Linked DNA regions of Tribolium castaneum. The protein of the gene in region 2 purifies or fractionates together with the protein of the main gene of each other region. This does not show direct contact. Links are inferred from orthologs where the notes say so. Each region holds a gene or a part of one and is shown on either strand. Other genes may lie near its edges.

The links.
Region 1: the proteins of Sgf29 (region 2) and not purify together in Homo sapiens (affinity purification with mass spectrometry; 6 studies listed by BioGRID and IntAct, with this or other methods). This does not show direct contact. The link is inferred for Tribolium castaneum from reciprocal best matches to the Homo sapiens genes SGF29 and USP22.

The regions. Positions count from the first base shown.
Region 1 is NC_087399.1:1,665,488-1,669,762, forward strand, and holds not (ubiquitin carboxyl-terminal hydrolase nonstop), read right to left. Parts: upstream 2,861-4,275; 5' UTR 2,519-2,860; coding exon 2,354-2,518; intron 2,308-2,353; coding exon 1,801-2,307; intron 1,500-1,800; coding exon 1,234-1,499; intron 1,181-1,233; coding exon 623-1,180; intron 577-622; coding exon 534-576; 3' UTR 444-533; downstream 1-443. Other genes in the region: hexosaminidase D, read right to left, coding at 33-198, 243-297, 342-370; pyridoxal-dependent decarboxylase domain-containing protein 1, read left to right, coding at 3,224-3,322, 3,370-3,713, 3,757-3,998, 4,088-4,275. UniProt on the Homo sapiens protein: Deubiquitinase that plays a role in several cellular processes including transcriptional regulation, cell cycle progression or innate immunity.
Region 2 is NC_087396.1:14,033,179-14,037,501, forward strand, and holds Sgf29 (SAGA-associated factor 29), read right to left. Parts: upstream 2,871-4,323; 5' UTR 2,593-2,870; intron 2,544-2,592; 5' UTR 2,441-2,543; coding exon 2,270-2,440; intron 1,815-2,269; coding exon 1,295-1,814; intron 445-1,294; coding exon 260-444; 3' UTR 173-259; downstream 1-172. UniProt on the Homo sapiens protein: Chromatin reader component of some histone acetyltransferase (HAT) SAGA-type complexes like the TFTC-HAT, ATAC or STAGA complexes.

The DNA.
Region 1 (4,275 bases), on a different chromosome or scaffold from region 2:
GTCAGAGAAGCACAAAACTGTGACAAACCTACCCATATCAAGCAACTGTCTCGCCTCTTCTATGGTGTACGGGGCCCCACTGACCTGTGCGCTGTTCGACAGCCCCCCAATCGGCAGCAACTCGCGCGTATACGGGAACGTATCCTCCCATTCTAGCAAAATACCAGTCGCCCCCAAATCTTTAATCAGGGGAAAAAACTGAAATTGACGTTTAAAAGTGAGGTTGTGTCAAACAAACATACTTTTTCGAAGTAGCAGAGCTTCGGAGGGGCCCCTTTCAGGTCCAAGTGGATTAATCTGGGGCAAATGGTTAATTGTGGGTCAGGGGGGTTTGTTCTTACCTTTGGGAACCTAGCGTTAAAGCGTCCATTTTTTAACCTCACATTTCACTTGTCAAAGTAAACAAATCAATTAAGGAGGGTGGAATAATAATAAAAAACGGCTATTGAGGTAAAATTTATTACATTTAGCACTTGATAAATTAATCGATGTCACAATAAAATAAATAAAATGTTTAAATTAGGTAAAATCGTTTAGTCGTAATCTAGGACATGCTTGTGGTAAAAGAGTAAATATCTGGAAGTAGAAAATTACGGGGTGTTTACACAACTTTTCGCCTTACCCTTCCGAGTCTAGAACCTCCTTGAGAGTGGCTCTTGTGATGACGTGATCGTCGCATTTGTACCAATAGTCTTGCAACTGTCTGACATAAGCGGTGTAATGACCCACGTTTATGGAGTTGCCAATGTGGTTAATGACGGCAAAGAGCGAGTATCTGTTATCAGAGGGAAAAGGCGAGTCTGTCTTAGACCTGCTCATAAACGGGGTCATATCTAGCATTTCAGGAAACGAAATCGTAGTAGAGATTTTCTTCTCCATCTGCGACGAAATGAGTGACTTTTGTTTGGATTTCGTGTGGGTTTTTACCTCGTTCATGTGCTGAAAGCGTTTTAAATGAAAACTGATAACAATCGGAAGCGTATTCATAGTCAATTGTTTCGTCGATTCCTGCTTTGATTGGCAATTCGAACACATGATTTTCGAATTTTCGCCTAAATGTTCGGCCCTTGTGAACCTCTCTAAACAATCGACAAGTGAGGTAGGTGGCCGTCCGCCAACCGTGACCGGACCCAAATCTAACGAAAAGTCCGAAATTGGATCAATTGTAGTAGAAACACCACTACCAATGCAACAAGTAAAACCACCGGCTCGCTTAAAAATCCCACTACTCACTTGCATTTCTGACAAACAACGTCACTTTGCAACCCCCCGGTAAAAATCTGGTCGATAATGCAGGGGCATCGCGAGTTTTTCCCCACATTCACCGGCTTTAAATCGGGCATTGTCTCGAGACAGTGCTGGTGGAGCACGTCCAGAGTCGCGATGAAAAATTCGTGGGCGTCTTGCTGCTCATAGCCGGCTAAGTGCCGGGCATGCGTCCAGATTAAATGCAAGAGCTCGTGGAGGGCCAAAGGGACGCGAGTTCCGTTATAAAACTCCTAAAAAAAATTACATTTAAATTAAACGAACTGAGAAAAAAGAATAAACATATTTAAAAAATCAAGAACAGTTTACATAATGTGTGTTATCACTGTTTTAGTTAGACTTTTTTGTAGGAAATTTAATTCTTCTTGATCTAAATCAAAAAATAAAATGTTTGCATTATTTTTTGTTCTACCCGCCTGCATTTTTGTTTGCGCCATCTGGCGCCACTAATGGAACTATCCAGGACGGGGACATTTGAGTACGTTTCGTATCCTAACTTATAGTAACCCGTAGCCTGGCCATATACGACCATACCTGGAAAAGCTTGGAGACCTCGCAAACGAGGCACCGTCCCGACATCCCCTTGCAGTTATGCTCCTCTGTGAGGAAGTAGTCGCGCAACAAGGGGGTGTGCATCAGTGCTTGCACTATACAATTCATGAAGCACGTCTGACCTAAATTAAGCAGCCCCCTTAGCCCGATCGTCGAATCGGGCGTAATACAAATCTTCTTCGTCTTGCTCCTCAAATAATCCCTCTCATCAGACGTAGGATTCCACGTGTCGATCTCAAACAGCCGTTTCTTGCAAGTCTTCGACTTCATTTTATTATCGTTCGCAATTGCGTCGATTTCGGAATCGTAGATGTAGTCATGGCATTGGTTGCAGTGCATCTGCCCGTAGGTCAGGTCCATGGACATGGAGTGTTTCTGGCTCTTGGCATGCTCCCGGATGTGCTTGTGGCATCCGAAAAAGACACACTCGAGGCAGGCATGCAGGAAGGGGCCCCGCTTTTTGCACACGCGACAGCGGCTGTTGCACAACTACAATTCCTCTAGTTAGTTTTAGCAAAGCGTGGCCGATTTTTACCTTGGTTTTGAGGCTCTTTGAGGTGGAGTTGACCACGAACACGGCGTGGATCCACTTGAAAGTGTTCTTGTTTTTGCTCGTTTTCTTGTAAGACTGCAAGTGTTGACACCCAACTATGCTCATTTTTTTCGAAAAACGCGGCTTTGTGTGGGATTTATTGCCCATCAACGAGGTTGCCAACGAGATACAGTCGTGGCCTCAAACTATTGGCCCCAAGCCCCGATTTTTACAAAACTAAACGATTGTTTCCATTCACACAATAAAAAGTTTAAAAAATTGGTAAAAATTGTACACAAATCACGATATGACACTGGTGTCCACCTTTGGACAACAGACTGAGATTTACGGCCACATGCCCACAAGCACGATTCGAGAAACGGTGATCATTTTAATACAACAATGAAACGATTGCTGTGGCTTTCGGGTGATTCCCACAACCCGAAAATGTTATTTTGGGTCGATAAGTTTCACGCAATAATTTAATAAATCAATTTTAGGCCATGTCTCCAGTCGAGCGTCAAGTGGTGGCAATAACAGCCAACATGACGCCCACAAAGTGATACTCTAACACAGTTTTGGGTAATAATAGCCCCTTAATGATCACAAAAATGGAATTAGAATTAAAAAATAGTTGGAGTTTAATTCATGACTTGACCCGTGCCTATTTGGCAATCAACTCCGGCAAAGATTATTTTTTCCTAAGGTTGGCAAAGGTATAGTCAGCTGATAACGCACCATTTTAAAAATAAAGCGCCCGCGCTAATCCCCGACATCCTCCATTGCGTCGTATCTCCACGTCCGCATGCAAATAAGCGAGAGCACCCGAAGGCGTACGTCTGCAAAATCTGACGTTTCCGTACACCTGCCACGATGGCTTCTCCGCCGAATGATAAAAACACAGCAAAAAACGAGGTTTCCGTAAATGTAGACATAACGAAAACAAACATGCAAACTCCAACTAGCAAAAACGTAAGTTTGGCCACAATTTCCAGCCCGGTTTTTATCCGGTGTTTCAGAACCAGTTGGGCGAAATCGCAATCGAAGCGTCCGAAATTGTTAGTAGGTTAGAGCAGGTTGCCGAAGGGACAAGCCTGGCCGATGCGGCCTACAACCAGCCGACGGTGTTCCTGGGCCTGGAGCAGAAGCGCACCGAGGAAATCATCCAGATAATCCAGGGCTTGATCAGTGTGGATGAGGACGGGGAGCCGTTGAGTCTGCACAGTCTGGACAACGTGGCCAAGCTGGTGATGGTTTCGCACAGCATTGCGGCGTTTTGCAGCGGGCTGGAGCGCCCCGTCATGCAGAAGCTGAGCACGAGGTTCACCACGGACGCCACGCGCTGGATCAGCCAGATTTTCGGGTAAGAAATTGGGTGAACCCCCGGTATTAATAAAAAATTGAAGTTTTCTCGACTCGTCGTCGTTTTATCACGACGACCACCTCGAGGGGCTGGTCAGAGTGACCAGAATGATGCTACATTACAAGTACCCCCGGTATCTGGAAGACGGTGCTCTGGCCTTTACTGCCTCGCTCCCAACTATTTACAGCAGTGTGGCGAGTCCTTTGGTCGTAGTCCAGCACTTGTGTCGCCAGTTGGGGCTTCCCCTAGCCTGTGTGAGGCCCGTGCCGGTCAATACTCACTTCGGTAATTCACAATTTTTGGTCAAAGTGGTGACCAAGTCACTTTGATCAGAAATCATTTTATTGCAAGCTTTTTTGAGGGCTTGTCTTCAGGTTCGCAGTACACGATGGACGTAGCGTCGTTACAAAAAATGTTAGCTGATGATGTTAGCGCCGGTAGGACCCCTTTAATTGTGATTGCCGATGCTGGGACCCCTATTACGGGGCATGTTGATAATATTTCGAGGATTAAGGAGTTGTGTCGGTTACATGACGCCTGGTTGCATCTAAGGGGGCACAGT
Region 2 (4,323 bases):
CAGTTTCGTTTTTATTTTATAATTTTTAATGTTGCAACATTACAGGTACCTTCAGCCTGTTTTTTTCAGGAGTTCCATTTTTTTAAAAGTTAGATTAGAAAATAACAAAAATGTAAAAAAAATTCATGTACATGTAAAGATGAATAATAAATTGGTGAAATATAACACAAAATGAAAGTTTCTCGAATGTTTACTACCCAATAAATTATTCCATAAAACTTGAAGCTTCAGAATCAGACATAGTGTCTGAAAGATAATGTCAGGCTTGCTTTGTCTTCTGTTTTATGGCAATGACGTAGCGTTGGGCCACATACAGGGGCGGGCTGTAGCCTTCAGGATACGCAGCGTCTTCAAACAAAATCTCATATTCATCAGTATGTGTTGCGGGAGGCTTGTTCACAATGCCTTTATAGAAGCAACTCGTAGTTGGGTATAGAGCCATAACTGAAACGCAAAACCAACATTTTAATTTACGTGGTGTCCGGTTATAACGAACTCAGAAAATGTGTCAAAATCCGTTCGTTATATCCGAGGTCATTAGAAGAGATAAATTAACAAAGAGTGTCTTTTTAGCTGTTATTTTTGCTTTATATCATTTGTCAAATAAGACGAAATAAGAAAGAATTGTAAAAAAACATTAATCCTTTGCGAAAAAGTAATAATTTGATAGTTGTGCAAATATTTTAAGGAATGTGAGTAGAGCTCAAAAGAACTCAACTTGCATTATCCGAATATTTGTGGTTTCTGAATTTTCGTCGGCGATGGCGAATAAATTTAAATTTGGCGAGCAATTTTAAACTTTACTAATAAAAATTTTAAACAAATATGATCTCTGAGGAATCTACTACACTGAGTAAAAATTATTAGCAAAAACAGACACAAAAAAACCACGAGACATCCCATAAAATAATTATAAAAATGTAAAAAATTTACATAGATTTTTTTTGTGCTAACATACCACCGAATGTTTCAACACGTTTGTGACATTCATCGGGCAATAATTCCAGAAATACTAGCCGAAACCCTAATAAGTGTATAATCGTTGGATAGCTCTTAATAATCTGTTTCTTTTTACAAAAAAGACCATTGTTCTGCGATTAACAGTTTTAAAAAAAATCGCAAACAGTGTAAAAAATATATCTTAAAAATTATTAAGAATCTGGTCATTTTCTTGACGCCAAGCGATTTCCCAGAGCATTTTACAAAGACAACTTTAAAATAGTTTCAATTTTCCGAAGAGTTTTGCCATAATCGGTGCTTGAAACAGGAGGAAGTTCGTTGTAACTCCACTTACCGACAGTTCCTTGTGGAAACAAGGCCGTTGGATCAGTCTCGGGATTAGCCCGCATTAGGGGTAACGGTACCACATTTCTCTTGCTCAAAGTATGTCGCCGTTTCTGATTCTGCTCCGCCAAAATATCATCAACTTCGTACTTATTTGAGGCGTGATTATAACTGTACACTTCAGCCAATATCCAGTTTTCGCCATCTCCATCAGGAATTTTAACCAAAGCAGCCACCATATCGCCCACTTTTGCCACATAGCCAGAGTCAGCAGGTGTGGCACCACAGAGAGCAGGAGGTTTTTCGTCTATTTTACCGACGAAAAGGGGCAATGTTTGTGCCGAACTCATTAACATCTTCATCCAAGTGCCCCTACGAATCGATTCTTTGTTTCCAGCATGTCTCGTTTGAATTCTCCGTTCGTTCTTAATGTTGCGGATTTCCGCAATTTTTTGAAGAGCTTGACGGAGCAAATCCTCCTCTTGCTCGGCGTGCGAAATTGAGGACTTGTAGAGGCTCTTTAGCTTCATCTACAATATATAATCATTACAGTAATCATATAAACTCTTATTGAATCGAAACAATGGAATTCTTTAAATTCACGTAAACAAAAATATTTACTTGAAACACAATTGAGCTTTAAAAGGTGGTTCAAAGGCGATTTTTTTTAATTTAGCGTTTCCAGGGCACCGTAAGCCGCCAAAGATCAGAAAAATGTCATCAAAGATCTTAAAAGCCATTGTAATTATTTACGTTTTAACAATTTTAACTGTAAGTTGCAGTGAAATCAGTACTTTTATTTGTAGCATAATTATTAGGTAACGATTGCCGCTGAGAACAAGACCGAGGTAAAGGGACCAAATGTCGTTGACACAAAGAAGAAAACAAATCACACTGATACACACATAAAAATGTTGGCCCCAAATTACTGTTATTTTTTCGGAAAATGCCTCAAAATATTTTGCGAATGCCAGAAAATCCACACCTGATAATGTTGGCTGGACTTCTCGTCTTGCCCATTTTGAAACTTAACAATGTTGTTTATTCCTTGTTCACTCTGTTGGCGTTTCTTCTCAATCTCATGAACCGTGTGATAGAGCGACTTCAAGTGCTCCTGAACTTTTTGCGCTGCGATTGCGTCTGCACTAAAGGGCATTTTAATAGTGCAATTAAAATTCACCGCAGAAATATGGGTTCCTGAAGTGCCTGTCTACAAGCACAACGTGGTACCAGCAAAGCAACACTAAAGTGACGAGTACCTGAAACGCCCAAAATAGAGCAAAAGTATACACTTTAGTAATCACTGACTATTCTACACACGGTTCTAGTGGAAATGTTTATTTCAATTAAATCAAAAAACATTGATTTGACTGTTTGATGCACTGCCAGGGAAAAGGGCACAAGTCGCACTGCGGGGGTAACTTTTATGTATTGTACTTTACAATAAACTACTAATTATGGAAATGGTAATTTTTTATCAAAATAACATGCACGTAATTTAAAATACACTTATTTTTGTTTGCCTGTGCTTGACGTTAGCCGTGCAAATAGACTACTTTTTGAAACACACGACCTAATACATATATTCAATTAAACCTACAAAAAATTCACTAATTAGTAATAATTGTGGAATAAAATGCTTGATAATGTTTTTAACATTGCAACGATAATATCACTAAGTTTCCCTTTTTTTCTATATAAGATAATGTTGTGTTAGGATTACTTATCTCTGTGTTGTCACATTGGAACTACGACGGCCTTGAGGCGCTATTTAAAAAATTGCAACTATTTTTTATTTATTTAATTAAATACGTGTTTGTAAACTTGCTACGAGGTTGTGATTGTGAATTTAATTAGTACTTGCGTCTTTAGATTAAAATGAAAAAAATTATTTGCTTATTAATTATGTAACTAACTAATGATATAGAGGTTTTTAATTTAAATATTTCAGGAAAATTCTGGTTTCAAAACGATTTGGGTCTATCTGAAAATTTATTTCATTAAAAAATATCGTGTTATTTAAATTTAGCGCCGCGCTTGTGCAGAGCGTGATGTTTGTAGACGTTTTAGGAATTGACAGGTAGCACAGAACAGAAAGGGTTAAGAAGTGATAATTCCCTAGTAAATCACTGGCAACACGAGAATCCAGCGCCTCTGGTGCTGAAGTGCGTTACTACCACGGTAAAGTGCCACGTTTGAATAAATTCCTTTTATATTGTTTTTTATTATTTTTATCTTACAAGTTTCATTGCAAATTGTTTAAAATAAAAAAATATATTTTCATTTTAAACAAAATGAAAACGTTTTATATTTATTTTAAACAAAATTTGAAATGAAACTTACAAAAAAAGTTGTTTTGGGGTAATAAAACACAGATTTTGTTAACATTTTTATTGTACACTTGAGTAACATAACAAATTAAATTTTTCAAAAAATTAAAGTATTGTATTATTTCTTAATTATACAAAAATTATAAAAAAATTAAATCAGTCAGTGTTGGCATGTTTTGCCTGTCTGCTCGAGACTTAAAACAAAATAAGGTCTGCTTTGCAATGACTTTTACCTTGTCTGTCAGCAAACAGTTGCCCACGCTACGACCACGAGGAGGTACATGCAGTGCACTGACACACTCGAGCGCAAATAAGAAACTTAAAAGTAAATTCTGAAATACCCTAAATAGCGAAAACGCCAAAATTTTGAACTTACAGGATCCTCAATTTTGCAGGCATTCCTCCACAATTCTTGAAGCTTTGGATTCTTAGGGAAGGTGAAGAAATGCTTATTGGACTGTCCTTTGTTGGGAACATAATCACTGGTGCATCCGGGGTATTTGCAGGAATATTTGCGATAACCAGCCATGACTAAAGTTCAGTTGAGTAGTAGAAATCAAAAATCCGTCACTCCAGACCAATGCCTTTAAAATAGAAAGAAACACCAATCAAAAAGATGAGGTTATATTAATAAAATAAGAGATACTTATCTTTTTGGTCGGCGCTCAACACCAGGAATTGACTCACTAACGAACTGTAATCAGAATTT